Danio rerio: one gene and its partners. The protein of the gene in region 1 purifies or fractionates together with the protein of each later gene. This does not show direct contact. Links are inferred from orthologs where the notes say so. Each region holds a gene or a part of one and is shown in the gene's direction. Other genes may lie near its edges. The genes, in order: exoc1, exoc7, exoc6 and exoc6b.

What was found.
Region 2: the proteins of exoc1 (region 1) and exoc7 purify together in Homo sapiens (affinity purification with mass spectrometry; 4 studies listed by BioGRID and IntAct, counting the BioPlex papers as one, with this or other methods). This does not show direct contact. The link is inferred for Danio rerio from reciprocal best matches to the Homo sapiens genes EXOC1 and EXOC7.
Region 3: the proteins of exoc1 (region 1) and exoc6 purify together in Homo sapiens (affinity purification with mass spectrometry; 4 studies listed by BioGRID and IntAct, counting the BioPlex papers as one, with this or other methods). This does not show direct contact. The link is inferred for Danio rerio from reciprocal best matches to the Homo sapiens genes EXOC1 and EXOC6.
Region 4: the proteins of exoc1 (region 1) and exoc6b purify together in Homo sapiens (affinity purification with mass spectrometry; 3 studies listed by BioGRID and IntAct, counting the BioPlex papers as one, with this or other methods). This does not show direct contact. The link is inferred for Danio rerio from reciprocal best matches to the Homo sapiens genes EXOC1 and EXOC6B.

Annotation. Positions count from the first base shown.
Region 1 is NC_133195.1:28,554,955-28,562,609, reverse strand, and holds part of exoc1 (exocyst complex component 1), read left to right. Parts: intron 1-557; 5' UTR 558-565; coding exon 566-689; intron 690-777; coding exon 778-908; intron 909-3,079; coding exon 3,080-3,239; exon of another isoform or gene 3,240-3,264; intron 3,265-3,516; coding exon 3,517-3,534; intron 3,535-4,707; coding exon 4,708-4,895; intron 4,896-5,776; coding exon 5,777-6,004; intron 6,005-7,598; coding exon 7,599-7,655.
Region 2 is NC_133187.1:48,895,180-48,903,349, forward strand, and holds the end of exoc7 (exocyst complex component 7), read left to right. Parts: intron 1-596; coding exon 597-717; intron 718-1,031; coding exon 1,032-1,127; intron 1,128-1,213; coding exon 1,214-1,277; intron 1,278-2,865; coding exon 2,866-2,907; intron 2,908-4,721; coding exon 4,722-4,855; intron 4,856-5,594; coding exon 5,595-5,697; 3' UTR 5,698-5,851; downstream 5,852-8,170. UniProt on the Homo sapiens protein: Component of the exocyst complex involved in the docking of exocytic vesicles with fusion sites on the plasma membrane.
Region 3 is NC_133187.1:9,574,278-9,581,932, reverse strand, and holds part of exoc6 (exocyst complex component 6), read left to right. Parts: intron 1-2,539; coding exon 2,540-2,611; intron 2,612-2,764; coding exon 2,765-2,862; intron 2,863-2,946; coding exon 2,947-3,052; intron 3,053-5,123; coding exon 5,124-5,233; intron 5,234-7,655. UniProt on the Homo sapiens protein: Component of the exocyst complex involved in the docking of exocytic vesicles with fusion sites on the plasma membrane.
Region 4 is NC_133182.1:25,148,571-25,156,225, forward strand, and holds part of exoc6b (exocyst complex component 6B), read left to right. Parts: intron 1-2,504; coding exon 2,505-2,670; intron 2,671-2,816; coding exon 2,817-2,864; intron 2,865-2,959; coding exon 2,960-3,050; intron 3,051-3,323; exon of another isoform or gene 3,324-3,383; intron 3,384-3,703; exon of another isoform or gene 3,704-3,816; intron 3,817-4,746; exon of another isoform or gene 4,747-4,873; intron 4,874-5,049; exon of another isoform or gene 5,050-5,135; intron 5,136-5,467; exon of another isoform or gene 5,468-6,702; coding exon of another isoform or gene 6,703-6,784; coding exon 6,785-6,830; intron 6,831-7,655. UniProt on the Homo sapiens protein: Component of the exocyst complex involved in the docking of exocytic vesicles with fusion sites on the plasma membrane.

The DNA of each region.
Region 1 (7,655 bases):
ATCTTACGTTATACCTGTGTTATTATGACAATAAACCATATACTTTTGATCCCCTGATATCTTATTAAACGTAATTTAAACGTAGATGTTATAGTAATGTTAGTAACATTAATAACGTTAATTTTCTGCTGTATTTGATTGTATGGAATTTACCTTGTTAAAAACGTTGCACTGGTGTATTTACAGAAAGTTACGTTAACATTGTGTAGAATCCCCTCTTTATCTGTTTTGTATATTTTATTACAGCTTTGCGAATGAAAATGTTCAGCTTGCATTTCTAAAACCGAATTAATGTAATGTCATCTTAACTGCATTTCTGTAATGATTCGTCCTAGTTTGTTTTGCCTTTTTGTGTTATGAAGCATCCATTATGATATAATTATCGTCTCTCTCTCTGTGACCTTTTATTTATTGCAGTTTTTACTTTGACTACAAAAAACACACTTTTGAATAACTATCAGTGTATTTTAGTAACATGGACTGTGTCGAGAATGCTTATATATTCAGAGAAAACCTTGTCTGTTCATTTACATAAGCCAGTTGTGATTTAATTTCAGGACTAATCATGACTGCCATTAAACACGCCCTTCAGAGGGATATTTTCACTCCCAATGATGAGCGCCTGTTGAGCATCGTCAATGTTTGTAAAGCAGGGAAGAAGAAGAAGAATTGTTTTCTATGTGCCACCGGTAAAGCACTGACACACACCACAGATCCAAGTCAGAGCATGTCATCATGCATCCGTTTGTTTATTTGGTGTCTTTTTGTTGTTTTCAGTGACTACAGAGCGTCCAGTGCAGGTGAAGGTGGTCAAAGTGAAGAAGTCGGATAAAGGAGATTTCTATAAGAGACAGATGGCATGGGAACTACGAGACCTGACAGAGGTTGATGCTAAAGATGCCAATAAGGTGAGAGGTTACATGAGAATCATTATAAGTGTAGCGGAGGCCAGCTAGCAAAGAGCTGTGCAGGTAAACCTCACTCCTCTGACCTCAAAACGTGCTCTAGCAACAGACGCTAGAGGTCATGGTCTTTAGTCTCCTTGTTAGACAGGGTTCATACTGTCATGGAAAACCTGGTAAAGTCATGGAATTTTGACAGTTGGAAAAGTCATGGACAACACATATCTGTATACTTTAATATAGGTTCGTTGTCTTTACTTCTTTTCTGTCCTTGGTTGATCAAATACTCTTACATTATTAGTGCAGTTTCAGCTTAAATAAATTTTACATAGACATAAATGTAAATTGGGTGTCATGGCGATGCCGTGGGTAGCACTATCGCCTCGGCTGGGTCAGTTGGCATCTCTGTGTGGAGTTTGCATGTTCTCCCTGTGTTCATGTGGGTTTCCTCGGGGTGCTCCGGTTTCCCCCACAAGTCCAAAGACATGCGCTATAGGTGAATTGGGTTAGCTAAATTGTCTGTAGTGTATGTGTGTGAATAAGTGTGTATGGATGTTTCCCAGTGATGAGTTGCAGCTGGAAGGGCATCTACTGCGTAAAACATATGCTGGATAATTTGGCAGTTCATTCCGCTGTGGCAACCCCAGATTAATAAAGGGACTAAGCCAAAAAGAAAATGAATGAATTAATAAATATAAATTGAAACTAATTTGATTGTTGCGTGTTTTAGTATATGCCGTAATAATTTTGGTATTATACAAATGTATTGTTTTTTACCATGCATATGTAGACATTGCATGAAACATTAGGTCATAAGAATTTACTTGAAAGTCTTGGGAAAAATCATGGAAAAGTCCTGGAATTTTTGTAGTAAAAATGTGTATGAAACCTTGTTAGAGCCACCGACTCCCATGCAAAAAAATCGCTGGTTCGATCCCAGCTCAGAACGGGTTGGATGGTAGGACTGGTGGGTTATATATCTGTTCAAGCATGACATAAATGCAAATAATCACATTTCTGTTACATATTGATATTATTATCTTACCGGTTGTTTGATGATGCTGGATACAGGTATATTTTAGGATTATTAATGTATTGTCATTAGTGGCTTTTGTATCATATTTTGAGATTTATTTACATTTGTAAAATAAAAAATAATAATTTTATTTATTTTTAAATGTCACTTATTTTATTTGTTGATTTGTCATTTTAGTGCTTAAACTTATTTCAGGTAGTTGCCAAAGCAACATTTTAAATTAGGATTTTCAACCTAATTTGTATTAAATGATTACATCTTTATTTATATTAATGGAAAAATCAGTTTCAGTCAACAGTTATCACACTTCTTTAGTATATATTTTTTTAGACTAACTAAACGTTTTTTTTTTATTTTTTATCATCGGTTATTTTAATACATCAGCACATACAAATACAGTCTCAGCTATACAGTAGGAAAAAAATTAAATTATATAGACAAGTAAACAGGATGATACAGTCAGGCTATGAGTATAAACCATAGAAGAGAAAATCTGGTGAAAATAATAATGAAAGGCCAAAAAGGTGTCCATAGCTGCCAAAAGTCATTGGACTTTTGATGTATGTCATAGATGAGTTTCTCAAGTGGTAGCATACACACTTGAGACAACCACATTTTATAGGAGGGTACCTGAGGAGATGACCACAATAAAAGTCTACTTTTCTTTGCCAAATAGACCAAGATTAAAACAAATGCTTGGTGTGGGAGTCCAACCTATTCTCTACTTCACCATATAACAAATACAATTCCAGAGAAAAACTCAATTGTATCTTAAAGAGTCCTTGTAGAAAATGATGTGCTTTCTTACAAAAAGAGATGATTTCTTCACAATGCCAGAAACCGTGAAGGAATGTTTCTTTGGATTTTTTACAGTTAAAACAAATCCAGACTAACTAAACATTTATGTACTCTTTAAATCTTAATTATTTAAGAACACTTAATTATACGGTGCATTATAATGTAATGTTATTCTATATAATGTAATATCATTCCTAAGTTCACTTGTAGAACTTTACAGCAATTACTTTTTTCTTGATTCTTATTCTTATTCTTACATTTACTTTTTTTTTAATCTAAAACTTATAATCAATGGGCATCAGCCTGTATGTAATTGATATCTTATTTTTTTTCCTTCATGCAGGAAAACCCAGAGTTTGACCTGCATTTTGAGAAGGTTTATCGTTGGGTGGCAAGCAGTACAGCAGAGAAGAATTCCTTCATCTCGTGTATTTGGAAGCTGAACCAGCGTTACCTTCGCAAGAAAGTGGAGTTTGTAAACGTCAGCCCTCAGCTGCTAGAAGGTGTGACTCGCTGCTACTCCTGGTGGTGTGGTGGAGTAATAGCATGTTAAACAGCCACTGTGTTTTAAGATGCAGTTACCTTAAAGCCATATGACAAATCTAAAGCTGTTACATAGAATTATTACATTTGCAGTGGTAGGGACTCTTTCTGTTTTCCTGCAGCTAGTTCTCTCTTTTCTCTCTTTGGGTCTCTTTTGGTTCTGCAATGTGTCTTTTTGAGTGCCCTTAATGCTTTAACCAGATCTGTGCTGTTCTCTCTAAATCTCTCACTGGCCAGAGCTTCCTAAAGCTGAAGGTTTGTACGCTGTTTTTTTCCACCTTTCATCCTCTTCCATTTCCTTCTCCATTTTTTCCATCTTCTCTTATTGTTTCCCCTTCATTAATGCTCTTATTTTCCGCCAATTAATTAGTTTGCTCAACTACTGATATCTTCATATATTTAGACAGTGCTCACCCTTTAGATTTTTTATGTGTGCTTGTTTTTTTATTACTTACATTTTATTTGTTCAGTAGATTAGTTTATGTACTCACATGCATATCTAAGCTATTGTTCAAATGTTTGGGGTTGGTTAGAGTTTTAAGAAATGTTTTAAATACCTGATATGTTCACTAAAGTTCTTTTTATTTATTGGAAAAACAGCTAAATTGTTTAAAGTGATAGTTTTAAATGGAATAGAAAATTTCCTCATCATTTACGTTCCTTTTATGAGTTTTTTTCTCCTGTGGAAGACCACTATGGAAGTCAATGTGTTCCAGAAGCCAGCATTTTTCTAAATATCTTTTTTATTTGTTTAACAGAAGACAGAAACTCAAATAGATTTTTAAACAAGTTAAGGGTGAATAGATTATACGATTTTCAGACACAATTTTCAGTTTTGGTGAACTATCACTTTAAAGCAGGTGTGTCCAAACTCGGTCACAGAGGGCCAGTGTCCTGCATAGTTTAGCTCCAATTTCCTTCAACACGCCTCCCTGGAAGTTTCTAGTATACCTAAAAAGATGGGGTTGAAACTAAAATCTTCAGGACACCGGCCCTTCAGGACCAAGTTTAGACACTCCTGCTTTAAAGTATTATCAATGTAACATATTATATACACAGTTTTACATATTTACATGTTTTTACAATGTAAATAACAGTTTTCACATACAAAGCAAATCTTTAGCTTAATTTTTTCAGTCTTTAGTGTCACCTCATTCTTCATCTGTTTCTTTAGGCTTCTTTAATAAAAAAGGTCTGCATTTGTTAATATTAATAAATGCATCAATAAAATAGCTACATTGACATAAAATATCTTTTGTGAATTTATGTTTTCACTGTCACTTTTGTATTTTTTTTCTTCTGAAGTATTTTATTTATTTATTTATTTTTTTTACAAAATTTACACTGACCCCAAACGTTTTAACAGTGGTGCATAATGTATAATATAAACACTTTTTTTTAATGATCCCTGTCTCTTCTTCTTCCCAGAGTCGGTTCCGAGTGGCGAGAGTCAGAGTGTTGCTGGTGGAGATGAAGACGCTCTGGATGACTATCAGGAGCTGAATGCCCGTGAGGAGCAGGACATTGAGGGCATGATGGAGGTCTGTGAATACGCCATTTCCAACGCTGAGGCCTTCGCAGAGAAACTGTCTCGTGAGCTTCAGGTCCTAGATGGGGTGAGTATGTTCAGATATTTCCTTGGCTGTAACAGAAATTGCCCCCTAGACCCTTAAATGATACACTTAATGCACATTCAAGGGAGCAGCCATTTGTAGAGGTGTCCGAAGCCAACATAGACATTCTGAAGTGCACTCAGAAAATCCCACAATTCACCTCAATATCGAGGGTACAGCTAGAGAATACCCATAATCAGTGATGTAAAGTAGCTAATTACTAATACTCTAATTACTGTAATTGAGTTGTCGGTCACGTTATACAGCAAAACAACAGCATATTCAATTCTACTATGGCAATTATCACCTCAAGTAGAGATTATATGCTTTATTTTATTTATTTTGGTTATCTCTATATGTGACATTTATTGCCATACAAAACTTGCAGAAGTCTAAACTGTGACTCAGTCACTTAAACCACATCTGTCACTCAGACTATGTAATAATGTTCTAATGAAGTTAAATACATATTAGTTAGATTATAACCTTCCATATTGTTGGCAGTGCAGTGGCTGATATTTAAATGAATGGCTAGTATTTAGATGTTTCTGTTGTGTCGCATTGTGTTTGATGCAATCGCTTGTTGCCGAAATCTTGAGTGTTATTAGAACATTGTTTTACCAAGCTGTTTAAAATCTAGTTTGATCTAGTCTGATGGATTTATGTCGTGTTAGCACCTGAAAAGTATTGATTGCACCAGTCATCAGGATTTTTATCTATATTGAGCCAAGTGTAATAATTATCTACAGGTCAAGGTGAGTGAGGCTTAAAGCTTGTCTGATTAGCAAGTAAATTATACAGTAGTTGCACGTAGTTTGATTATTGGTTGACAGTTGTATGATTTTAGAGATGGTGACTAATAATATCTCTTCCTCTTTGATCAGGCTAACATCCAGTCCATCATGGCGTCTGAAAAGCAGGTGAACACCCTGATGCAGCTGCTGGACCAGGCTCTGGCGGAGGTGGACACCATCGAGGGGAAGCTGCTCAGTTATGAGGAGATGCTGCAGAGCGTGAAGGAGCAGATGGACCAGATCTCACAGAGCAACCGTCTCATCCAAATCAGCAACACTAACAATGGCAAACTGTTGGATGAGATACAGTTTCTAGTGGTATGTTAGGGCACGGTATACAAGTGCACATCATAATTTTGGCGATGCAATCCTCAACAAGCATATACTGGTAGGGTGGAAAATTAGTGATCCATTGTGACCCATCAGTAGGCCCACACAGAATCCGCAGATTTTTTGCAGATTTCCACAGATTTTTAGCCCATCAATAATTCTGTTTATTTATTTGAGTAAATGTGTGTAAATATTTATTTATTCAGTTTTTTAAATATTTCTGTAATGTTATTGACTAATATGAAAATGTTTATCTGATCTATGTGCAATAAGTCTTTTAGTAGAGATATTAAATGAGAGATTTGCTTTGTTTGCCAAAAAGTGGATCTAATTGGATTTGCATTTTAAACATTAAATAAAAGTTAAAAAGATATAATTTTTATTTCACATATTAAGGTTTTAGTTATGATACTGCCAAAATAATTCTGCTGAAATCTGCAGATTTTTACCAAAATTCTCAGCAGAAATAGCTAATACAACGTCCGCAGATTCCGTCTGGCCCTATCAGAAACTGTTGCTTAAAGAACATGAATATTTGGTTGGCTATGAACAGTTTTATTTAATTTATTTATTTTTTGTTACTGTTTATTGTCCCCTTTTAGGGCAATTTGTTCTGGAGCACAATAGATTTACAAAATTGACAACACACACAAGACAGACAACATACAATATCAGTAGTACTAAAAACCTCGTCTTATTAGGATTTAGCAAGTCAATAGCACGAAAACAAATTAAAATTAAAATCTGTTAGACTTTGCCAAAGGGACCTTATATTGTAATCTGATGTGCTTTTCTTTAACATGTGGATTTCATACAAATGGATTTCATGCAATTTCACTCTCAGTAAGATTCAGATTATCTGTTAAAGTGTGTTGAAAACTTAATTAAACTGACCTCAAATCTAGATTTTTAAGTTTAGATTTTAAGGAAAAAAAAATTAATAATTCAGTAATAAAACCTTTTCTTTTACTGTTTTCTCATTCTTTACTTTTCCCTTATTGACCCTAGTTTGGGAAACTCTGCTTTTCCTGTATTTAAAGTGATAATTTTTTTACCAGAAAAATAAAGCTTGTGTTGTTTAATGGTCAAAGCATATTAAGCCACATATAAACTATGTAATGTTTTTTCTTCATTTAAAAAGTATTTTTTTTTTATTTTTATTTATTTATTTTATTTTATTTTAGATTACATTTCATCAATGTACAAACCCCTGGACCCCTATAGTCAATAGTTAATGGCTTAATTGTGGAATCTTGTATAAACATTTATTTGTCCCTAGACTTCTTTTGTATAATTAGATTTTCTTTACTTTGCCTTTGTAATCCAAAAAAAATCTGATTAAAAAATTTTCAATAAAAAAATGACAGTTTAATTACAACTTTGATGTTGTCTATTAGTTTCCCAGTACTGGGTTGCAGCTGGAAGGGCATCTGCTGCATAAAACATATGGTGGAATAGTTGGCGGTTCATTCCACTGAGGCAACCTCTGATAAATAGCTGAAGGAAAATGAATGAATGAATGAATATTGTCTATTATTTCAATTATTCTTTACCTTTTTTTATCTTCTTTTCATCATGTTAGAACTACATGGATCTTTCAAAAGGGCACATTAAGGCTTTGCAAGAAGGAGATTTGTCC
Region 2 (8,170 bases), on another chromosome or scaffold:
TCACTGTGTCATATGTAGTGTTGTGCTTTTACAAGAGCACTTGTAGAAACCAAACATTTGTCGTTTTTACTTTTAATAATTTGAGACATTTGTTAAATGACAATAATAAAATATTGTTTATTTGTAAGTCTTTGTGATTTTCCTATAATTTATCTGTCACTACTTGTGTATGTTAATAAATAAATACAAATTTATTATAATTACTAAAATTTTATTATAGTCCTAAAAATTTGGACCGCGGGTTGATGACCATGTAAAAATGTGGGTCCCATGGCCAAACCAGTTGAGAACCACCGATCTAAAGGGCCTTTGCCTTTCATATAAGACACTTCTGATACCAAATGATCAACCAGAAGTCAACTTATTATTTGCTCTTCCTAAAACTTGCATAAGCCACAAAACTTTTGTCAGGTATTTTAATTACAACTACAAGAGAAATATTTCACAATTATAATAAAATGACAATCCAAACGCAATTACTAGAACAAAACTTTTAATGTAATCCGTTACACAAGTGGATAATGCTATAATAGCTCGGAGTGAATTGGGAATTAAATATATGATAATAGATAACCATGTTGTTGTTGTGTTTTCAGATAAAGTCCTGGGTAATCTGCAGCTGAATCTGTCAAATAAAGCTAAAGTGTATGAAGATCCAGCCCTGCGCGCCATTTTCCTTCATAACAACTACAACTACATCCTCAAATCCCTGGAGAAGTGAGTTTATTCATTACTGATTCTGATTCTTTACACCGCTTCATCTCAGCGACCAATCAGAAACCAGACCCTCCTCTCAGCACTAGCCAATCAGAAGGCAGCTCTCTGCATAATCATTCACACTTCCTAAATTATCTCCTAATTTAACAAGTCTCATATTTCACTCACACAGATATACTCGCATTCCCTCTCACACACTTACTGTATGCTCTCTCTTACTCTCCCACACACACACACACATGTGCATACTCATACAACCTCACACTTATGTGAGAATGAAAATGGAAATGAAGTGGTGTGTTTGTGTTGTTCAGGTCAGAGTTGATTCAGCTGGTGGCTGTGACTGTGAAGAAGGTGGAGAGTTCCTACAGAGAGCTGATCGAGCAGGAGATCCAGAACTACCAGCGCAGGTACAAACACACACACAGCATCCGATCACAAGAGTCCGTCTGAATGATCAATCGGTGAATGACCTTTGACCTTCCCTGACCTGCAGCTGGCTGAGGGTCACAGAGCATCTCGCAGAGAGGAACATCCCAGATTTCCAGCCGGGAGCCAAAGTGAGGAAAATCACACACATTTACCGTACTTTCACACCGAACACAAATGGAAAACACAAATAAAAAAGGAATGTAGTGATTGCTAGATTGACTTGTATTTCATTGCAGACAATAAAACAAACATTATTGAATGTGTTTTCAATATTTTTATTGTTTACAAAATAAACATGTAATCCAATTTTGGTTCTTGCAACACATTTAAAAGAAGTTGCAACAGTAAATAATTTACCACTTTGTAATGTTTCCGTTGTTTTTCACTACACTTAAAAGACGTTTAGAGACAGAATGATAAAGTGTTTCAGGTGTAGTTGTGTTCCAATCTTCCTGCAAACAAGCGTTAAGGTGGACAACAGTACGTGATTTCAAAATGCACCACGCATTCTCTATTGGAGACAGGTTGGGACTCCAGGCAGGCCAGTCAAGTACCTGTATCCCCCGCAGCCAGGACTTTGTAATGTGTACAGAACAAGTGTGCCGCAAGCCTACGTTTGAGTGAAGGTCTCGGCCGTTAGATCGCCCCCTGGGGGCTGGCTGCAGTACAAGTCATAAAGCCCGCCTCCTCCGTGTTAATGAAGTAGACTTGAGCCCAAATAAAAAAAAATATTACACTTGCAATAAAATGTCCCGAAAGATAGTTCTGGTCGATTAAGGCACTGGTTATTGTGCTGAAATAGGTGCAGATCTTCATTTTTGTAAACAGTTTGTTTTTAGCAGTAATTTAATGCTGGGCGTGTCATCGTGATTGACAGCTGTGATTGACAGTTTCTCAAAGCGCGGCGTCTGAGCTTCGGCAGGAGACTGAAGTAGACTGAAATGTTATTATTCGATTTCTGTGTTATTTTACCATGACAAAATGAGTTCAGCAGTAAACTACAGTTTCTGACATACATGATCCTGGTGGAACACTGTTTATTCGCTAAGTTCAGGGCTTTTTTCGGGCTTTATTAGTTTGCTGATACACGCCTAGCCACCCAGATAGCAAAACACAGTTCCGGCTAGATTCTCGCCTGCCGGAGACTTATCTCTTAGAGCTCAGACTGACTAATGTTACCTCTGCTGGACATACTCCGGATGCCTGGACTCACTACCCAATTCCAGCCCGAGTCAATCGAGCCAGATGCAGTGGCCGAGCGAGCCGGCGCTGCCGCATGCGAGCCGGAATCAGCCCGCGACGCCGCGAGTAAGTTATGCGCTGCGGCCTGGAGCTGGCGCGATTGAATATATAAAACCCTCATGTTTGTTAACGTTATTACATCCATTTGTGTTGATATGACAGCAAACGCATGCTGAGAAGTTCAGGGGGCGTGGTTGATTTTACATAAAGCGTTTGATTGGAAGCTCGACTCTGCTCATTTTCGCGGCTCCTCCTCTGGCTCCATCAGACAGTCCTTCTGCGCATGTCAAGGCTCCAATTTCAGCAGTCTTTTGCGACAGTTTGTGCCCGTCAAGCAGGCGTTTTGCCCTCAAGGCGTTCAATGGGAAAAAGGGCTGTCGCGTCGTCCATATTTTTTACAGTCATTGGTACAGAATGTGGTTTTGCATTGTCTTGTTGAAATATCATCATTAATCTGAACTCTTGTTTGTGCAGCTGAAAGATAAAGAACGACAGATCATCAAGGACAAGTTCAAGGTGAGACAAACTCATGCATACTCTAACTATATACATCATATTTACAGCTTTTCTCAGTGGTATGGTATGTCCCCTACACTTTTAGAGACCGACCATTCAGAAACAGGTGATTAATGCCTAGTTCAGACTGCGTGATTTTAGCCCCGATTTTGGCTCACAGACATGTTTTGAGAAATCGCCGACAAATGCCTGAAATCACAGGCAAATCGCTGCTCGTGCACGTGAGTGACAATCACACAGTGTGAACTATCAAAGACGCGATCTGAGAGAATGCTGAATATCTGGAGCTGTCGGCGATTCAAATCATGCAGTGTGAATTGGGTTTTGACTGAAAATAACATCAGCGATTGCCTACAGCCAGGGCCGGAGCAAGCTGAACTGCCGCTCTAGGCAGAGGACGATCACGCCGCCCTCAACCCCAATGAGAAAACGAAAGTGACCGGTTATGAAAATGAAGTGAGGTGTCGCGGACCTCTTTTCCAGCGCACTATGTGCGGATATAGCTGAGGACGCGCGGGTGCTGAGGGAGGGAGGGAGGTGTCGCGGACACTGCGCTCTCTATTCTGCCACCCTATGCGCGGATAAATGAGGACGCGCGGGTGTCGCGGACCTCAATTCTGCCGCCCTATGCGCGGATATAACTGAGGACACGCGGGTGCTGATGGAGTTGTCGCTGACGCCGCCGTCTCTATTCTGTCGTCTATGCGTGAATATATTTGAGGATGCGGGTGGTGAGGGAGGTGTCGCGGACATAACTGAGGATGCGGGTGGTAAGGGAGGTGTCGCGGATGCCGCCCTCTCTATACTGCCGCCCTAGGCGGCCGCCTAGGTCGCCTCTATGGACGCGCCGGCCCTGCCTACAGCCAATGAGAGGGCAGCGTTCACTAGTGTGTGTGTATAGCTGCTGCAGGCCAGCGGGAGGCTGGGGGAGAAGTTAAAAGCGCTCATTTTCGGTTTATTTGGACCCACGAAATGGAGGAAAAACTAGTGGAGGTTTGACAGGACTCGTGTCAAAACCGTGTTTGTTTGACCTTTCATACAGAAAGAAATTAGTTTATTATTAACGTTGAGGAGAAATGGCTAATTCCCTTTAAACCCAGGTGAGCGAACATGTACATGTTCTACCCCATTAAAGGCTTCTTTCTCATTATGTAGTCAATAACAAAAGATATACGACGTGTTTTTGGCTGTGAAACGTCGTTTGGATGAAGTTGTCGGCGATTCTTCCTTTAGTAAAGTCATGCAATGTGAAAGTCCCTGTCGCCAATCCATCTTGCAGTGTAAACAAAGCAGCGATGAAACGCTAGCCCAGATAGTCATGCAGTGTGAAAACATCTGTGACACGACTACTTTAAAAATCATGCAGTCTGAACTCGGCATAAGACTGAAAACCTCAGGATTTCATACAGCCGTCCCCCCCACTTTGAAAATGTCCGCTACACCCCTGAGTTTCCGCGCTCATCTGCTGCTCTTGACGGCACTTTTAGACGTCTCTTCATCTCATTTTTCATTTGATCAACACTTAAGTCTATTTAACTGATTCGATTTTATTTCCGTTATAACATCTATGCTGTAAAAGAAACCTGATGTAGTTGAAAACAGTCACATTAACCTTTCACCGGAAGTTTATCGGTGGCTGAAAAATACTTTAGCTTATGCTTTTTTTTTTTTTGCTGTGAAATGTTGATGATCTTAATATGGTTCGTATCAAACGATGATTATTATTTCAAGGTGGACTGTTGTCTCAGAGCTGACAGGGTTAAAGTGTATGTGTGTGTGTGTGTGTGTGTGTGTGTGTGTGTGTGTGTGTTTAGGGTTTTAATGATGGTCTGGAGGAGCTGTGTAAGATCCAGAAGGGCTGGGCAGTTCCTGATAAAGAGCAGCGCGACACCATCAGACACGCTCAGAAGAGGGTCGTCTCACTCACTTATAAAGCCTTCCTACAGCGGTGAGACACACACAAGCACACACACACACTAACTGCGCATACATAGACACACAGACACAGACTCATACAAGCACACTCACAAACGCATACATAAACACAATTCACACACACACATGTACTTGCATACACACACACACACTCATACAAGCATATACACACACATACACACACAATTTACACACAAATGTTCTTATTTTTATGAGCAATATTACACGAGTAGCAGTGCGATGTGGCCGCAGGCCGAGTGCCTTAGTGCCCCCACCAGTGCCGATATACAGCCACACACATACACAATTGTGTATATAAAAACAAAATCAAACATGGAGAGTCTTAAAAACCCTTTTGTATGAGGAACTACTTTCCTCCGCATTGGATTCAAATCATAATCTGACAGTTAAACAGCTGTTAAAACAGTTAAAGGCATCTTTTAAACTTTAGATCTGTAGTGTCTGCTTTTTGCTGGCTGTATGTGTGCGGAGTAATACACAAAGGGTAAAGAGGCTGTAGAAGTTCTAATATTGCAGAATATCGCACGGCTTTCAGCCAATCAGATTTGAGAACCAGACAGAACTGTTGTATAAATATATATATACTATACATACTGTATATACTCACACACATTTCCACACATATACTCACAGACATTGTCAAAAACACACGCACTCAATCTCTCTTTCACACAGACACACACAAACACTAACACGCACTGTGGTTTATGTTCTGCTGGTTGTTTTTACAGATGTGCGAACATTTCATTCACCAAGAATCCAGAGAAATATCACCGCTACTCCCCGGAGCAGGTGGAGGACATGATCGACCGGCTGTTCGACACTTCAGCTTAGACACGCACACACACTCTCTCTGTCTCTCCTGCTTCACTACACACTACTCCACTGTAACGCCACTGCTCACTTCTGCTCCTGTTTTTGTATAAATGTATTTATGTATATGTCTATGGGGGATTTAACTGCGGTAAATAAAGAATTTCCTCCTAAATCCTGCGCTGATGTGTGTTCATCAGTTACATTTGCTGATTTATTTTCATTTCATTTAATGAAGTGTTATTAGACAACGGCTATTTCAAACACAGAAACACACATGCAGTTAATGAAATGTCAAATTCTCATTTAGTTTTTTTAATTATCATTACAATTTGATGTGCAGTGCTTTTAGATTTATTTAAAACTATTGCATTTAACAAATATTTACTTCATTCATTCATTTTCTTGTCGGCTTAGTCCCTTTATTAATCCGGGGTCGCCACAGTGGAATGAACCGCCAACTTATCCAGCAAGTTTTTACGCAGCGGATGCCCTTCCAGCCGCAACCCATCTCTGGGAAACATCCACACACACATTCACACTCATACACTACGGACAATTTAGCCAACCCAATTCACCTGTACCGCATGTCTTTGGACTGTGGGGGAAACCGGAGCACCCGGAGGACACCCACGCGAAGGCAGGGAGAACATGCAAACTCCACACAGAAACGCCAACTGAGCCGAGGCTTGAACCAGCGACCTTCTTACTGTAAGGCGACAGCACTACCTACTGCACCACTGCTTCGCCCTACTTCATTATTCGTTTTAAATTATTTATTAATTTTTTTTCTCCTGGCATAAAAGACAAAATTGCACAATTTGAAAATTTGTTTTATTTAATTTCTTAATTTTTATTTTTTTAAATAAATTTTATTATTTTGGCTTTTTTTTTTGAAAATATTGTATTTTTATAATATTTATTTTAACTATAGTTTTAATTGTTTTAAATTTTTTGTTAAAAATTTTACTTGTTTGAAAATAAACTTTTCAAAAAACAAGCAAAGATACAGTTATTTATGTGTTTTGTTTTTGTTTGTTTTTTTTACAATACCTACTGTAATCGTACAAATCTATTTCTCTATCAATATTAACAATATACACTCACCGGTCACTTTATTAGGTACACCTGTCCAACTGCTTGTTAACTCAATTTTTTAATCAGCCAATCACATGGCAGCAACTCAATGCATTTAGGCTTGTAAACATGGTCAAGACGATCTGCTGCAGTTCAAAGTGAGCATCAGAATGTGGAAGAAAGGGGATTTAAGTGACTTTGACCAATAGAGCAGCTTTGGGATGTGGTGGAACGGGAGATTGGCATCATGGATGTGCAGCCGACAAATCTGCAGCAACTGCGTGATGCTATCATGTCAATATGGAGCAAAATCTCTGAGGAATATTTCCAATAGCTTGTTGAATCTATGCTACGAAGGATTAAAGCAGTTCTGAAGGCAAAAGGGGGTCCAACCCGGTACTAGTAAGGTGTACCTAATAAAGTGGCCGGTGACTTTATTTATTTTATATATATATATATATATATATATATATATATATATATATATATATATATATATATACGATTTTTTTTTTTAATTACTGTTTAAAACAAAACAAAACCGATATTTTTAGTCTTGCCAAAGTGCGTCTTGTTATTTTAGTGTCTGTCAGAGATGATTAAAGGTGCTTTCAGTCACTTGGGTGTGGAGCTTTATATTTAACCCTTAAGCCTTCATCACTGACCTAAAACCAGCTCTGAGTCTGTGAGGATGTGAAAACGCCTCTAAAATCAACGAGTCTAAAGCTCAAACACACTGAATCATATCCGGACCATCCTGAAACCGATGTTCGATGGACCAACACCTAGAGTTATTACTCATCATCAATTATGATGAGGAATCATTGATTAGCTCAGTGGTTAGCACTGTGGCCTCACAGCAAGAAGGTCGCTGGTTCGAGTCCCGGCTGGGTCAGTTGGTGTTTCTGTGTGGAGTTCTCATGCTCTCCCCGTGTTGGCGTGGGTTTCCCCCACAGTCCAAATATTAATGAACTAAATTGGCTGTTGTGTATGAGTGTGTATTGTGTTTCCCAGTACTAGGTTGCAGCTGGAAGGGCATCCGCTAAGTAAAACATATGCCAGAATAGTTGGCGGTTCATTCGTCTGTGGCGACCCCTGACAAGGGACTAACGCGAAGGAACATTAATGACTGTTATTATTTTAAGGTCACAAGTGGTTGTGTAAGCATTTCACTGCATATCATACTGTATTTGACTCTGTATATGACGAATTCAATTTACATTTATTCTTCAACCTATATGAAAGGAAGCCATGGAGGACATATTTGGCTTGTTGATTGTTGGTGCACAGCTGGAAGTTTCAGAATGTGTAAGTGTGAAACTGATTTGACTCTTTGCCCACTTGTTTTTCCAGTGTATGTGTGTGTGTCATTGTTTTGGAGGAAATGCCCTCTTACTGCCTGGAACCATGGATTATA
Region 3 (7,655 bases), on another chromosome or scaffold:
TGCAGTAATAAGATTGAGCTTTATGTGGGATTACAATGTCATTTTAATTTATTTCATTCATCTTAAAACCATTGAACTGCAGTCATTTTGGTATTTTATAAATGGTTTTGATATAAGGCTTCAGACAGGCTGTAAACAAACATTTATTTCTAGTTTTCTGTGTTTTAATTAGGTTATAAGATTCTGATGATATAAGATTCTGAAGGTATGTTAAGCTTGAATAAAAAATATCACGGGTTTACGGTTTTGTGATTACTGCTCTAAAATAATTTTTTTTAAAATGTCTGGGTAAGAAACGATTTTTTTTCTCCTCTTTTGAACACTAAATATTTTATTTTGAGAAACATTTATAATTTTTTGGAGTTGTAAACATGTCAATCTAAATAATTCAAATGAATCTTTGACTTCTGTTGTCTTTCTTTGCAATTTAAAACGGCATCTCTGGATAACTTTTCTGCTGGAGATACTGTTGTCCTAAAAAGCTGAACAAAAAATGTGTAAAATAAAAATAAATAAAATCTTAAATAAAAAAAATAAATCCTACACATACCCTAGGAATGAATATCAGAAAAAATTTGGCGGTTTTAAAAACCTTGACTTTTCCAAACTGCGGTATACCTTGAAAACGGTTATCGTCCCATGCCTAGTTTTAATACATCATTTATTCATGTCGAGCTGAGTTTTTAGTGTAATTTCAGTCTTACAAAAATAATCTAAAGAAATGCTCAAGAAACATTTAGAATTTTTAATGTTGAAAAAAATGTACGCTACTTAATATATTTGGTAATATATCAGAAAACTGAAAGTCAAAAAACATTATCCCCTCTAAAATGTATCTTGCAGCTGAACTTCCATGATACAGTTAATCACATAGGAAATAAATGATGTAGTGGCATATGTATTATATATGTTTAGCTTTGGAAAAACTAAGTTTTAACATGCTTTTACTGATTCTTTGTTAAAGAAAAGTATTAAAAAGTATTAATTATAGAGAAAACAGATTTTGTCACTTACGGCTCATTTCCACTGAGTGTTACGGTCCTTCGGTTTGGTACGCTTTTATGGCCGTTTCCACTGTCCAAAAGCGTACCGAACCAAACCGTACCGTACCACTTTTTCGGCACCCTTTCGAAAGGTTACCAAAACGAGAAAGGTTACCAAAAGGTGGAGCTACACGCGCAGCTAAACGCTGATTGGTTACAGAGATACTTTACAAGCTCGTGGAGCTAGACAGAATGAAAACAAAGGATCCGCCATGTTCTAATACACTGCCGAGAGATTACATGGAAATACTATATGCATATAATGACGAGCCATGGATGACGCAATCTCAAACAAACCTTGTCGTCATCTTGATGAGCAGACACAAAGCCAAGCAAAAAAAATCTGCCGTCTGCTGTTGTTGCTTTAAAAGCCCGTCTAAAAGTGTGATCGCGTCTATATTTGATTCAACGAACTTCTTGAGCTGATGATAATAACGTGTGCATGATTATTGAAGTGTCTCCGTCATCTGATCCATTCAGAAAGAAAAGGACAAGCGCGAGAGTGAAGCGCGAAAAAAGGAGAAGCCCGACAAGACTCAGGATCAAAAGTGTTTTAGCAACCTGAATCATGAACAAACTGCCATGTTTATCTTCGTCTTTTGGACTATTATAAACTGGGAATGACAAACTGACTCTCTAACAGAGCTTACATGTACTGGTGTAGATTACAGACACAGATGAGAGGTTTGCACTGACTGGGCTATATTGCGTGTGTTTTTAAACTCAAATAAGTACTAAATGTATGCTGTGTGTAGTTTTTCTGTAATTAATAATATATCGTAGACTGTAAGGGACTGTATGTGTTCATTTATGTTGCATTTATATATTTATTTAAAATAATTGCAGACGTTACCGTAGGCTATTTTGCACTGTGATTGATCTGCAGTTATAATCAAATCATGTTCATAGAAAAGTTAGTAATAAACATTTATAAACAAGTATTTGTGTATAAAGCATCTGTTTTGTGAGAAGTGCTACTCAAATTATATGCAAGCGACCCGTACAGCTTTACTGTAGACATTTATTCGAGCGAGCATGACGTCGACTTAAACTTTCTATCATACACCACGCCTGGGGTTAACATGTCCAGAAGTTCAACTTTTTGTTAGCATCTTCCTTTTTCTTTTGGGTGCTTTCTGCCGCATGTCTTTGACAGTGCAGAACTTTTTGTTGACATTGTGGGGAGAAAACTTTTAAACATACAGTACATCTTCGGAGTCCAAGCGATCCAAGATTTATGTAAATTTGGCAAGCTGAACGCATTCTGTACAGTACAGGAGACATTGCACAGAAGAGATTGATTGACAATGGTCTACAGCCAGTCAGGACGCAGAACATAATACGCTGTAAAAAAAAAAAAAAAAGCATGTCAAATTGCACAAAAAAAATGTATGAAAAGTGAACTGCGTTATTGCGAGGGACCACTGTATAGAATGTTAATGTTCAAAAATCACAGAAATGTGCTAATTCTGACTTTTTTTTTTTTCTTCAAATAGTCCTACTGCAACGATCCTGACCTGGTCCTAGAACTGAAGAACCTGATAGTTATTTTTGCAGACACTTTACAGGTACTGTCCAGTAATGTTTAGATCAAATCAAGTCCATCTTGCTTTCAAAATTAAGTCAAATTATAAAATCTGTATTTTCTTTTCATTTGATAGATTTGCTCTGCTCACTCAATATTATTGTTTGTTTTTTTGTTTGTTTGTTCGTTTTTGTAGGGTTATGGCTTCCCTGTGAACAGACTTTTTGACCTGTTGTTTGAGGTTCGAGATCAATACAATGAAACATTGCTCAAGAAATGGGCCTTGGTGTTCAGGTCAGAGGAACTTCAGCTTCAACATTTGAAATTGTTCATAATATGGCTATTGACTGACATATATCTCTCCCTTTCTGAAAACAGGGATATTTTTGAGCAGGACAACTACAGCCCCATTCCTGTGGATACTGAAGAGGAGTATAAGGCCGTGGTCAGTCGCTTTCCCTTCCATGATGCAGAGATCGAAAAGGTTTGTCAAGCTCTCATACATTTATATATTCGTACTTTTAACCCACTACCACACGCATTATGATAAATCTGTAATATATATATATATATATATATATATATATATATATATATATATATATATATATATATATATATATATATATATATATATATATATATGTATATATATATATATTTGACTGTTTTTCTTTTCTTAAAATGGATTCACTAAAAAAAAAAATAGGAAAAAAAATTTTTTTAAGGTACTTTATGAAATGCTGCCATATGGCAACAACGTCCAACAATTGATCTAACTTAGAAGTTTCTAATTTAAAACTTTCCTTATAATTATTATTATTATTTTTTAAAATAATTTAATGGGTGTTGCAGCACTATGAGCTTTAACACTGAACTAATAAATGACACCTTATACATACTTTACCACAACTCATATTCCAGCAGCTTTCATTTATTATATTCTTTTTGCAGAATATTATTGAAAACAATCATAATATTTTATTATCATGTATACAACATACAGGAAATGTAAATATTATAACAAATAAATAACAAGTCTAGTATATCCAGATGCATCAGAATAATGTAGCTACTAGCTAACAATGTTTATATATATTATACTATATACTATACTACGCCTGTCTTATTTACCTCTAAACAAACTTACCTGAACTGTCTCTATCAAATGTCCAGTCTGCATCATTCTCTTGGTCACTAAAACCCATCTCACCCTCACTTTCATCTGCAGGAAGAGCCAGTTCTGTCCTTTTCCTCTTTCACTTGCTATAGAACATGGTGGTGCTCACTAATACACTGTTCCCTGTATTGATATCTATTCAAAAGTAGTATTGCCAATAAAACTAGATTTTAACCATAATGCAAATGCCATTAACACATGACTAATCAACATTATATTACTAGCTTTCACGTTGATATTGTTACAACTTAAAAGTTCACAGCTGACTTTACTAGCTAGCTAACCCATTGCAATATTGCATGTTCCACTATTGCACAGTGTTGCCATTTGGCAACATACACATTTGATCGATTTACAAAAAACTAATTTAATTTAAAAAAATTCAGTTGTGAATATGTCATCATAACTTACTGGAGGTGATGTTTCTGATTTTTTGTGGCTCTTACATAATTTGATCCTTTGTTTTTATTGACGTTTACATTTGCATTTAACAGCTACTCACAATAAACGCCAGTCTGTCAGAAATTGTGCTACAGAAAAACACAGCATGTCATGTGACTTAACCAAAGCACATCATTGGCTACTCTAAAAGCTACTAAAAAAGTAAATTATGTTGGTCTTAAAGAAACAGTGGCAGGGAAATGAACATGAGTATCATGTTGCCATATGGTTACGCCCTGCAGTAGAGGGTAATTGAAGTCTGAATTATTAGCCTTATGTATATTTTCTCCCCAATATCTGTTTAATGGAAATAATATTTTTCCACACATTTCTAAACATAAAAGTTTTAATAACTCATTTTTAATAACTGATTTCTTTTATCTTAGCCATGATTACAGTAAGTAAAATTTTTCTAGATATTTTTCAAGATACTAATATTCAGCTTAAAGTGACATTTAAAGGCTTAACTAGGTTAATTATTTTAATTTGGCAGGTCAGGGTATTAAAAAATAATTGCTTAAAGGGGCTAATAATAATGACCTTAAATTTGTTTTTGTTTTTAAATTAAAACTCCTTTCATTGTAGCCGAAATAAAACAAATAAGACTTTCTCCAGAAGAAAAAGTATTATAGGAAATACTGTGCAACATTTTTTGCTCTGTTAATAATCTTTTGGGAAATTAAAATAAAAAGAAAGGCTAATAATTGTGACTTCAACTGTAGTTTGTAGTGGTAGTTTTCAGTTTTTACATACAGAATAGTTGGGCATCATCACCATATTGTTGGGTATAATCAATAGCTGGGCGTATTCACCAAATGCGATTCACAAGTTTGATTCGTAACTGCATGAAAACAATGTAAATATGTCACAGAAATTAAATGAGTTGTATATGTAATTTCTTTTTGACTAGTTTGAATCTTTCCTTATTAAACAGCAACAATTCCCAAAGAAGCTGCCCATGTCCCAGTCAGTGCCTCAGATCTACTCTCAAGTGAAGGAGTTTATTTATGCCAGCTTGAAGTTCTCCGAGTCACTCCATCGCAGGTGAGCAGATGCCATCGACACCCTCCACATCAGCAGACACATTCAGCACTCAATTGTTGGTCAGTGGATATTGAATGAAAATATTGAATAATCATGGTAAGGAAGGGGGTGTTCATGAGATTGTCATGAAACTTTTATTCATCCATTTATTCATTCATTTTCCTTAGTCCCTTATTTATCAGAGGTCGCCACAGAGGAATGAATCGCCAAATATTCCAGCATATGTTTTACGTAGCGGATGCCCTTCCAGCCACAACCCAGTCCTGGGGAACATCCATACATTCTCTCTCTCTCTCTCTCTCTCTCTCTCACACACACATACACACACACACACAGTCACACACAAAACCACTTAAGCCAATTTAATTCATCCAATTCGCTTATACCGCATGTCTTTGGACTGTGGAGGAAACCGGAGCACCCAGAGCAAACCCACGCAAACACGGAGAACATGTAAGCTCCACACAGAAACGGCAACTGGTTCAGCTGGGACTCAGCCTTTATTTGTCATTTATAAGGGATTATACAGCATAAATAGTCCTCACTTTAGATTAGGTCACAAAACTAGATGAAGTAGAGTTAATAAAGCATTTATTACTATACATAGTAACCGTTAATATATGCCTGAATAATAAAACATATAAACGTTGATTTCAATAGTTTATTAATCATTTACAAACTCATTCTGAATGATCCTAAAAACCCTCAACTACTCTTAAATACAACTGGTTTGTAAATAATGCGATACTTAATTTAGTAATGAAAAATAAATCATTAACTAAGTATGATAGTACAATTATTAAGCACATTTTAAATATGTTTGTAAGTCAGGAAAAGAGAATTTTATTAGCCGCATTTATAAAGTGTTTGTTAACGTCTATTAATGTAGAGTCAATGCTTGACCAATAATGAATTGACTATTTGCTAAAGCTTTTTTAGCTTTTTGATTTATAGTGTGTAGTTATTATAAAGTGTTACCATGTTATTGGGATGTTATTCTAAAGTTGCAACTATATCTTGTATACTAACAGTTAATAAATGAAGAATAGTTGCAACTAGAATAACGTCCCAATAACATAAACAAACTATTAACTGATACTTAAGTATTTAGTAAGTAATTTACTAACAGCTTGTAGGGGTGTCACGATTTCGATTTTTAATCGAAATCAATCGAAATTTATGCTCAATTTTGATTATCGAATCAAAAAATAGAATCGTCGATGCTGCCACACCCCCATGTCACGTCAGCTTGGCTTGCCAAGCGGGAAAAAAACAGGCTTGTTGAAGTGCTTGTTAAACTGCAGAAGCAGGAGACCCGTCGACAGAGCTTAAACCCTCTCCTCTTTCAATGAAGTCGCCGGTGTGTAAGCATTTTGGATTTCCAGTGAGTTATGTTGACAACGTTCGTGTTGTCCACAAAAAAAAACACAGTTTTGCAAGCTCTGCTATGTACGTATTACGTACGATTCGTCCGATAGACAACACCGGCATCGCGATCCTCCGCCTGCCCCCGTTGCAAATCCGCTCGCGAAAAGTACACACTCAGGCCCTGTTTACACTGTCTTATTATTATTTTAGAACGACAACGATTTGACATCCACAGTGGCGTGTAGCATTTCTGAGCAGCCCTCCGTCCTCACTACCTCTGAAAATGCACATCACGTAACCACACAGACACAGACGTACTCACAGCCATATGAGCTTGAGACAGCAGGTCCAGGCAGTCAGAGGATTGCTTCAATCTTTCACTCACTTGTACTTAGTCATTTTAGCGAACACCTCAGATACTGTTGGCTGGTTCCTGTTGGTTGTGCGTCTTGTCACTGCCTATTCACGAGTCCCGCAGAAAAAAGTGATTGACAGGTGGTAATTATGTGTGTATCTTGCCTTTATTCATTTACTGTATGATTTGTTTATGGGTAAAACAAAGACCATGCAGGTCAGGTAGTTTAAACGGTAGGCTACAAATAATTAATTGGTCATTAATTAATTATTCATAATCAAAAATCGAATCGAATCGTGCTTTTAGAATCGAAAATGTAATCGAATCGAGGGTTTGGAGGATCGTGACACCCTTAACAGCTTGTTTATGATCAATCACTAATTTATTAGGTAGAGTTATAAACCAGTAAAATATAGTTAACAAGTAATTTATAACTTGTCAACTAACAGCTCGTATCTATAAGTTACAATTATAAATTATTAACAAACTATTAACTATTATTAAACAAGTCATTTATAACCCATTAACAAACTGTTTATTAATGGACTATTAATTAGTTATTACTAGGGATGTAACGGTATTGTAAATACCGTCATACCGCAATATTAATTTTTTTCGATATTACCGAAGTCGCATGATTCGGTAAAACTATAGGTCTTCTGAGAAAATTTGCTCAGGCGAATGAAGCGAACGGGAGGT
Region 4 (7,655 bases), on another chromosome or scaffold:
TGTGTTTGTGTGTGTGTGTGTGTGTGTGTGTGTGTGTGTTAATGAGTGTGTATGGATGTTTCCTAGTGTTGGGTTGCAGCTGGAAGGGCATTCACTGCGTAAAACATACTGTATGCTGGATAAGTTAGCGGTTTATTCCACTGCGGCGAACCCAGATTAATAAAGGGACTAAGCCGAAAAGAAAATGAATGATAGACTGTGTCTTAATACATTTTAAATTATATTATAACTTTAGGGCAAATGTTTACTAAAAATATACATTACATTTACATTTTGACTAAAAATGTTGAAATATTCAATAAATATTTTGTCTAAAAAAATGCAATCTCTAAACGTTGTACTTTCAAGATTGCATTTATGTTTCTGTCTGCATAAAGTGTTATTCTAAACAATGTATTTTGTGACACAACAATATAAATGATAGAGCGAAATATGAAAGGGTAGACTTTTTATTTTGTCCATATGATATGTATGGTCATATTGCACAACCCTGCCCTGCCCTGCCCGGCAGTCTTGGTTTGTAAAAGAGGTGATCAGTGACGTCAAAACTGTGCTAATGGAAAGAGGAAATTTCCTGAGCCAGAGGAAGACTCAGTCGAAGCATGTGCTGGCATGTTTGTGTCTTCATTTAGATAGTATTTTACTGATCAGGACAGCACTTCTGTTTGTTAAACAGGATTAAGTTACATGTGATCATGAGAAATGACGTCTAATCCGGATGCATGTAAAACTGCATCTTTTTCTCTGTTTTGGTCTTCTGGCCGCACCGAGATAGCATTTTTGTCAGATGATCAAGTTTTTCTGCTAAAGTGTGTAGATTGTGAAGACTGAGGTCTGTGAAGTCATGTGATTCTGAAAAGATAGATCTTTGTTTATACTGATAGGAGTTTGTTAAAGCGTTCATATATTTACATGTAATCAAGTTTAGATATGCTGTTTTCAGATGTACCCAAATTAATGTAGATGTAGAAATCACCCAGGATATGATTCATCTTCGTTCTCCTCAACTCTGTTACATTGACCATTTAGAAGATCTCTAGTGGACTGAAATTAATCAGATTGATCTATTGGCATTTATATATTTACATATATTTAAATATATTTTTCCTGTAGATCCAAGAAACGTATTTTAATGAACATATTTCTTAATTTCTCCATTTAAATTGACTGTGTCCTTTTGCAATGCTTTATTTTATTGTAATATTGTCATAATATATATGTATCTTATATATTTATGTAAAAGGAAACATTGCAGTGAAGTATAGAAGTTTTTATTTTTATTTTAAAAGAACTCTTAACAGTTCTTGGGTTTAATCCGATTTCAAATGGCAAAGAAAATATTTGCTTATATATGTTTATTTCATATCTTCTACTGCCATCTTGTGGTAAACGCCTTGTATCAGCGACAATGGAGAAATATTTTTAGACAATTTATTTGTATGCCTTCCTTTTGACTGAAATAAAATTTCACTTTTAACTTTTAGTTACATTAGATATATTTAAAATGAGTCGCTTATAATATATACAGTTGAAGTCAGAATTATTACCCCCCCCAAAAAAAATTATTAGCCCCGTTAATTTTTTCCTCAATTTCTGTTTAACACAGGGAAGATTTTTTTTCAACACATTTCTAATCATAATAGTTTTAATAACTCATTTATAATAACTGATTTATTTTATCTTTGCCATGATGACAGTAAAGAATACTTGACTAGATATTTTTCAAGACACTTCTATACAGCTTAAAGTGACATTTAAAGGCTTAATTAGGTTCACTAGGCAGGTTAGGGTAATTAGGCAAGTTATTGTTGAATGATGGTTTGTTCTGTAGACTATCGAAAAAATATATAGCTTAAAAGGGCTAATCATTTTGACCTTAAAATGGTTATAAAAAAATTAAAAACTACTTTTATTCTAGCCGAAACAAAAAACAAATAAGACTTTCTCCAGAAGAAATTTTTTTTTATCAGACATACTGTGAAATTGTCCTTGCTCTGTTAAACAACATTTGGGAAATGTATAATAAAGAAAAAAAACTTTTAAAGGGGGCTAATAATTCTGACTTCAACTGTATAAACAGTCAGTAGTAATATAATGTATGTTTTAAAAGATTAAAAAGTGTTTTCAAGCGTAAAATTCATAAAGCATAATACAGTCTAAATGTTTCCCCTTTACATTAGAATGTGTCATAATTTATTAACATTTTTTCTCAAGCAAAATATAATGACTTTAATACATTTTTTTGCTACTTCTGACAAACTGTATATTCAAGATAAAAAGTCCTCTGCTTACTTCAGAAAGTTGACATTCTGTTTGTTAAATACTAAATTTAGTAATTAACATATTAATTAATATGTAGTATTTTGGAATATTTAGTATGTTTTCAATGTAAAAAATTTGCTTATTTTTTTGATGTGGACAACAAAATGAGTCTTTGGCCCGGATATGTCCTGTATCTTTTATGTAATATTGACACTCTTGTTTTGTTTTGTTCTTTCTCAAAGGTCCGTTTATGATGGACAGGAACATGGACTCTTCATGGAGAAGCTGGAGGGTCGGATCCGCAACCACGACCGTGAAATTGAGAAGATGTGCAACCATCACTTCCAGGGCTTTGTGGACTCCATTACTGAGCTGCTCAAAGTGCGCGGAGAAGCTCAGAAACTGAAGGTGAAGAAAGAGAAAAGCATTAGTACAGTGTAATCTGGACAGATTAAATAACCTCTTGTGTGTTTGTATACCTGGACAAATCCTAAAACTTTATAGCTCCTGCATGTGATTTTTGCTTCAATTGCTTTCTGCTCTGTCTTTTTCAGGGGCAGGTGACCGAGACCAATCAGAAACTGCAAAATGATGGCAAGGAGGTGCTTGGCTTAGTCTTTGATTTCAGAACATCTTAGAAAAATAATTTTATATTAGTATTAAGCATTGTTAAAATGAATGCTTACATCTTATGTAGCTCCTGACGTCAATGAATGAGCTGAGGCAGTGCCGTGTGCAGCAGAGAAACATTGCCACCACTATTGACAAACTCACACACTGCTTACCAGGTACAAGCACTTTTTTTCTTCGGACGTCACGCTTAGCTGATACTTTGCCTTTCTATTTACATTTCTATCGAAAAGTTTGAGGTACACAGCAAATTCATCAGAGTTAAATTCTCGGTGTTGAAGCATTTGAGAGTAAAGTGTTGACGTTAAAGAGTTAGATTTTGATAAATGAATATAATAAGAGTTAGAATTGATTTTATTCAGTGCGAAATCAAGGAGTTATCTTTTCTACACTTGGTGGTGTTATTTCCAACATCCGGGAATTCATGCAGCCCCAGTCACTGAAGAATTTTCCAGACACCATTTTCCATCTGAGGTTTAGAACAGCAACTGGTGAGTCAAACTACCTAAATGTTGGTATTTTACTGACTTTCTTTAAGGAAATACAGTTGTACACATGTTGTTAAGTTAATAACTTTAGAATGGAGTGACAATTTTAAACTTCTGTGGTTCATTCATGGTCGTTTGTGTATCTAGCTTAACTGCATTACTATTGACTTCTTTTCAAGAATGTTTTTATATATGCTCACGCATACATAGTGCATAAAAACATCAAATGTACATGTTCAGCACATTTCTGTCACGCTTAATGCCATTTTGTGCGTTGTTACCCATCTGTAAAATAAAATCGACACTTCTCCTTTAATTCTAAGCAAACTAGCGAGGGAATCCCCGGAGCCGCCTAACGTTAGCCTACTCTGCCCGGATGCTAACGGCAACACAGGACGGTTTCCATAAGCTCTGGAGAGTTTCTAAAACATATCTGGTGAGTAAATGAACATATGCTTACTTGTAAAAGGCTTCCTGACTGAAACAAATGATTGTTTGTTATTCGTGTACGTTAATTTGGCCCTTTTAAACTGGTTCATTCGTGGCCGTCCATATACCGTTAGTCCATAACTTAGACTCGTGTGATAACGTACGCTTGAATTATATTAAGTGTTGACAACCATTAAAGTCGGAATGTTAACATTAATGTCTTTAAATGACCGCGTTTGCACTTTATCAGACATTTAACGTTACAGAAGTCTCCCGGAAGTTGCGGGACTAACGTTATCCCGCAAATGCACGGAGAATCCCAGATGCCCAAGTAGATGCCCGCAAATGAATGATCATCTCCCGGAAATCGCGCGTCTCCGGCCCGGTCATTAAACACTTTGCACGCCCCTCTCCACCGCATCCCTCCCAGCTCTTCAGGTACGTCGCGCTCTAGTCACCCCCACCGCTCTTCAGGTACGTCGCGCGCAGCTCATCCCATTGCTCTTCAGGTTCTTATCTCTCCCGCTACCTCCCGCAAATCAACTCTGTATCCCCCGAAAATGACTTTTCCCAACTCGGGATGTCTGACGTTAGTAAGTTAGGCTATTTCTGTTGTCAGGAACATCTTAGTCAAGCTTTTTCTCCCGCATGATATTGTGCTTAGAACTATAGACTAAACTTAGCATGCACTGTACACAACATTTCCGTTTTATTAGTGCGTTGTAAACAGCCACCTGTCTGTAAAATTAATCAACTGATTCATATTTGAGCAGCCTAATGATGATACAGGTTTGATTTGTAGATTTATTATCAATAATCAACATCTGAATCAAAAGATATGTGAAAATGTGTGAGGCATACTTTGTGATGTTCATCTCTCTTTTTTATCTGAAGGTTATGCATATGTGTTTGATACTAATGTGTTGTTTTTTAACAGCCACAGTTCTCTGTACAATAACACAAGACCCTGTGACGGTGGCTGATTAGAGACGGATGGTGTATTTCCAGAGTTGGTGAAATGACCAAGCACACCTTCTTGGTCATATGTGGTGATAATAATGAAGGTATGTTTGATAAAGTTCTGTATTTGTTTCACAATAAGCTGAGAGGGTATTAGAGCATTAGAGAATAACAAATGACATGAAGGTGATAAGTTTTGTATTGTGGGTGAACTTTTACTTAAATAATGTTTTGCTGTTGTCTTTGCACTTTTTCTCTTCTGCTTATCCTAATATTTTAGATTATATTTGGACCTGAAACATCTGCTAGACTCCAGTAAAGGTGGTGTCAATACTGGACCTGAAAGGGCCTAACAAGTTGAATCTGGTAAAGAAACACGCACACACACACACACACACACACACACACACACACACACACACGCACACACGCACGCACACGCTTACAGAAAACTGTACGTTTATGAATGTCTTTTACACTGTGGCTAATATTTTGGGGAAGTCAGCATCACTAAATGATATAAAAGATTTTAAGCTCCTCTAAATTTTGCTCCAAGTGTTGTGTTAAATTCAGGATTCTGGACAGACAGCTGCCTGTTTTTCTAGTTCTAGTCATAGTGGTTAACCTAATTGTTTTTGGAGATCCAACAGTGATGTATGTGTTTTTTCTACTTTTCCATATCCTGTCACCTCAACCAGCTGGGAGAGTCAAGTTGTGGATCATCATGAAGATTTTCAAAAGGCGAGTTTATATTTCTTGAATGTTTTATTTACTTTAAATGTTCTTTTAAATATATCATAGAATTTGATTGCAATTTTATTTTCAAACATTTTTCTTAGTCATGCTGGAGTCTTGAAGAGTTCTCAGATGAGCATCACCCTATATCCGTGCATCAGGAACCACCAGATGAGCGATCAGCAGCTACTACATCGTCATGGATAAAAAGGTCATCCTGTGGCTGGGAAGCACTTCATTCACAGGACATGCTTGATGAGATTTCCTAGCTCCAGTTTGTTTTCACATAAGTTTACAGCATTTATACCTTCATTTAAACTGCTGTGTTTGATGTGGAGGACCAAGGAAACACCAGAAGTGAAAGATTTGCACGCCAAGTTGTTTAAAATGTAATTTCAGAAGAAAACTATGCGTTCAGAAGAAAACTATGAGTGACGATATATTGGACTTTCAAATTGCTCTGATGAAACAAAGTTTGGACATCATATTTTGTTGATACTGTCTGTACTAATAAAACATTTAAAGCATATTTGACATTGTTGCATTTTAAAAATTGAATGAATTGTTGAAGTTGTGAATGTTTTCAAATAAAATGTCTTTATTTTGTAATTTACAGTCTATTTGACCTTTTTACCATATTTACACTCAAGAGAGTTGAATAAAATAATATATTACACCAGGTGGTGTTAAATATAGTTACATTTTTTAACTCTGCCCTGAGTTAAAATTAACCCTTACTTCGGTGTCAATGTGCCAACCCTTTTGAAAGTGTTGATTTAAGTCTGTTTTGAGTGGACCCCATGAGACACTTTCAAAGTGTTGAAATTAACACCCATAGAGTTGTTTTGGGTCCCCACATTTTGCTGTGTAAGTATTTAAAAAGTAATTTTTTTTATTTTAAATGTATATTTAAAAAATGCTGTTCTTTTGGGTAATCAAATAATTATTAAAACCGTCACACCAAATATTAAGCAGCACAGCGTTTTTTAGGTGTTTCTTAAGCACCAGATGAGCATATTTGAAAGATTTTATTTGACTGTAATAGTGCTGAAAAACATCTATTAAAAAAAAAATTATAATAATTTCCAAATTATATAATGCATATTATTGGTGAAATAAATGATGTCTGTGTCCAATATTTAAAAGAAAAAAATCCAATGGACCTTAAACTTTTGAACTGCTGTATGATTTTCTTATTATGTTTTCTGCCTGGAAACTCGCATGCTGTGCTCTTGACTTTTTGTCCATATTCCACATGTGTTTTTGTTTTTTTCATGCAGTGTTGGAGATGTACAGCAAACTGCAGGAACAGATGAGGGCCAAAAGGTATGATTTTTTTTTTTCAGATGTGTTTTTTTGTGCGCGCGCGCTGAAAATATATGACAGATAAACACTAGGTGGCGGTAGAGATATACTTATAAAAGTTAAGCTGCAAGCGAATGTCAGTGCCCACAATATTTGAACACCTCTTATACACCTCCATTCTCAGCTGGGATAGAGAGAGCGAGGAGTTGATGATTTAAACAGCACCTTGATGACTGGACGGCTGGAGTTGCTCATTCAGTTTGATGTGACTAACCAGACAGAGAGAGAGAAAGAGAAGGAGAGAGTATTTCAGATGTCTGCGATGTCCAAAGCAGCATTTGGCAGCTGTCAGGACTCAGACACACAGAGGACACATTTGGATTGCATTTTCTTAGCTTTAGCAGCTGTATACCTTCAACTGTCCTAAAACCTAACATTATTAGGGATCTTTCTTTTATGAATTTTTAATAATTTTTTTTATGGTAGACATCTGACAGGAAGGGAGAGAATAGGGTGGCCGATGTCATTCCAACAGTATGGCATTTCACCTGCATAAGCACACATCTCCTGACCTCCACATTAATTTTGCAGACTTTAAAAGAAAGTAATAACAAAAAAAGTTTAAATACATCCAATATCTGTAATGTTGTGTAAAACTGGAACATTCTTAATGCAGAATAATTATTTTTAACATTAAAACTTAAAATCAAATAATTAGAAAAAAATTTTCATCGATGCATCATTTTTACATTCATTTGGCATTGAGTTTTGCATTTGTATCTTCATTTTTCATTTGTAATTTCATTTTTCTTCAGCTTAGTTCTTTATTAATCATTGGTCACTACA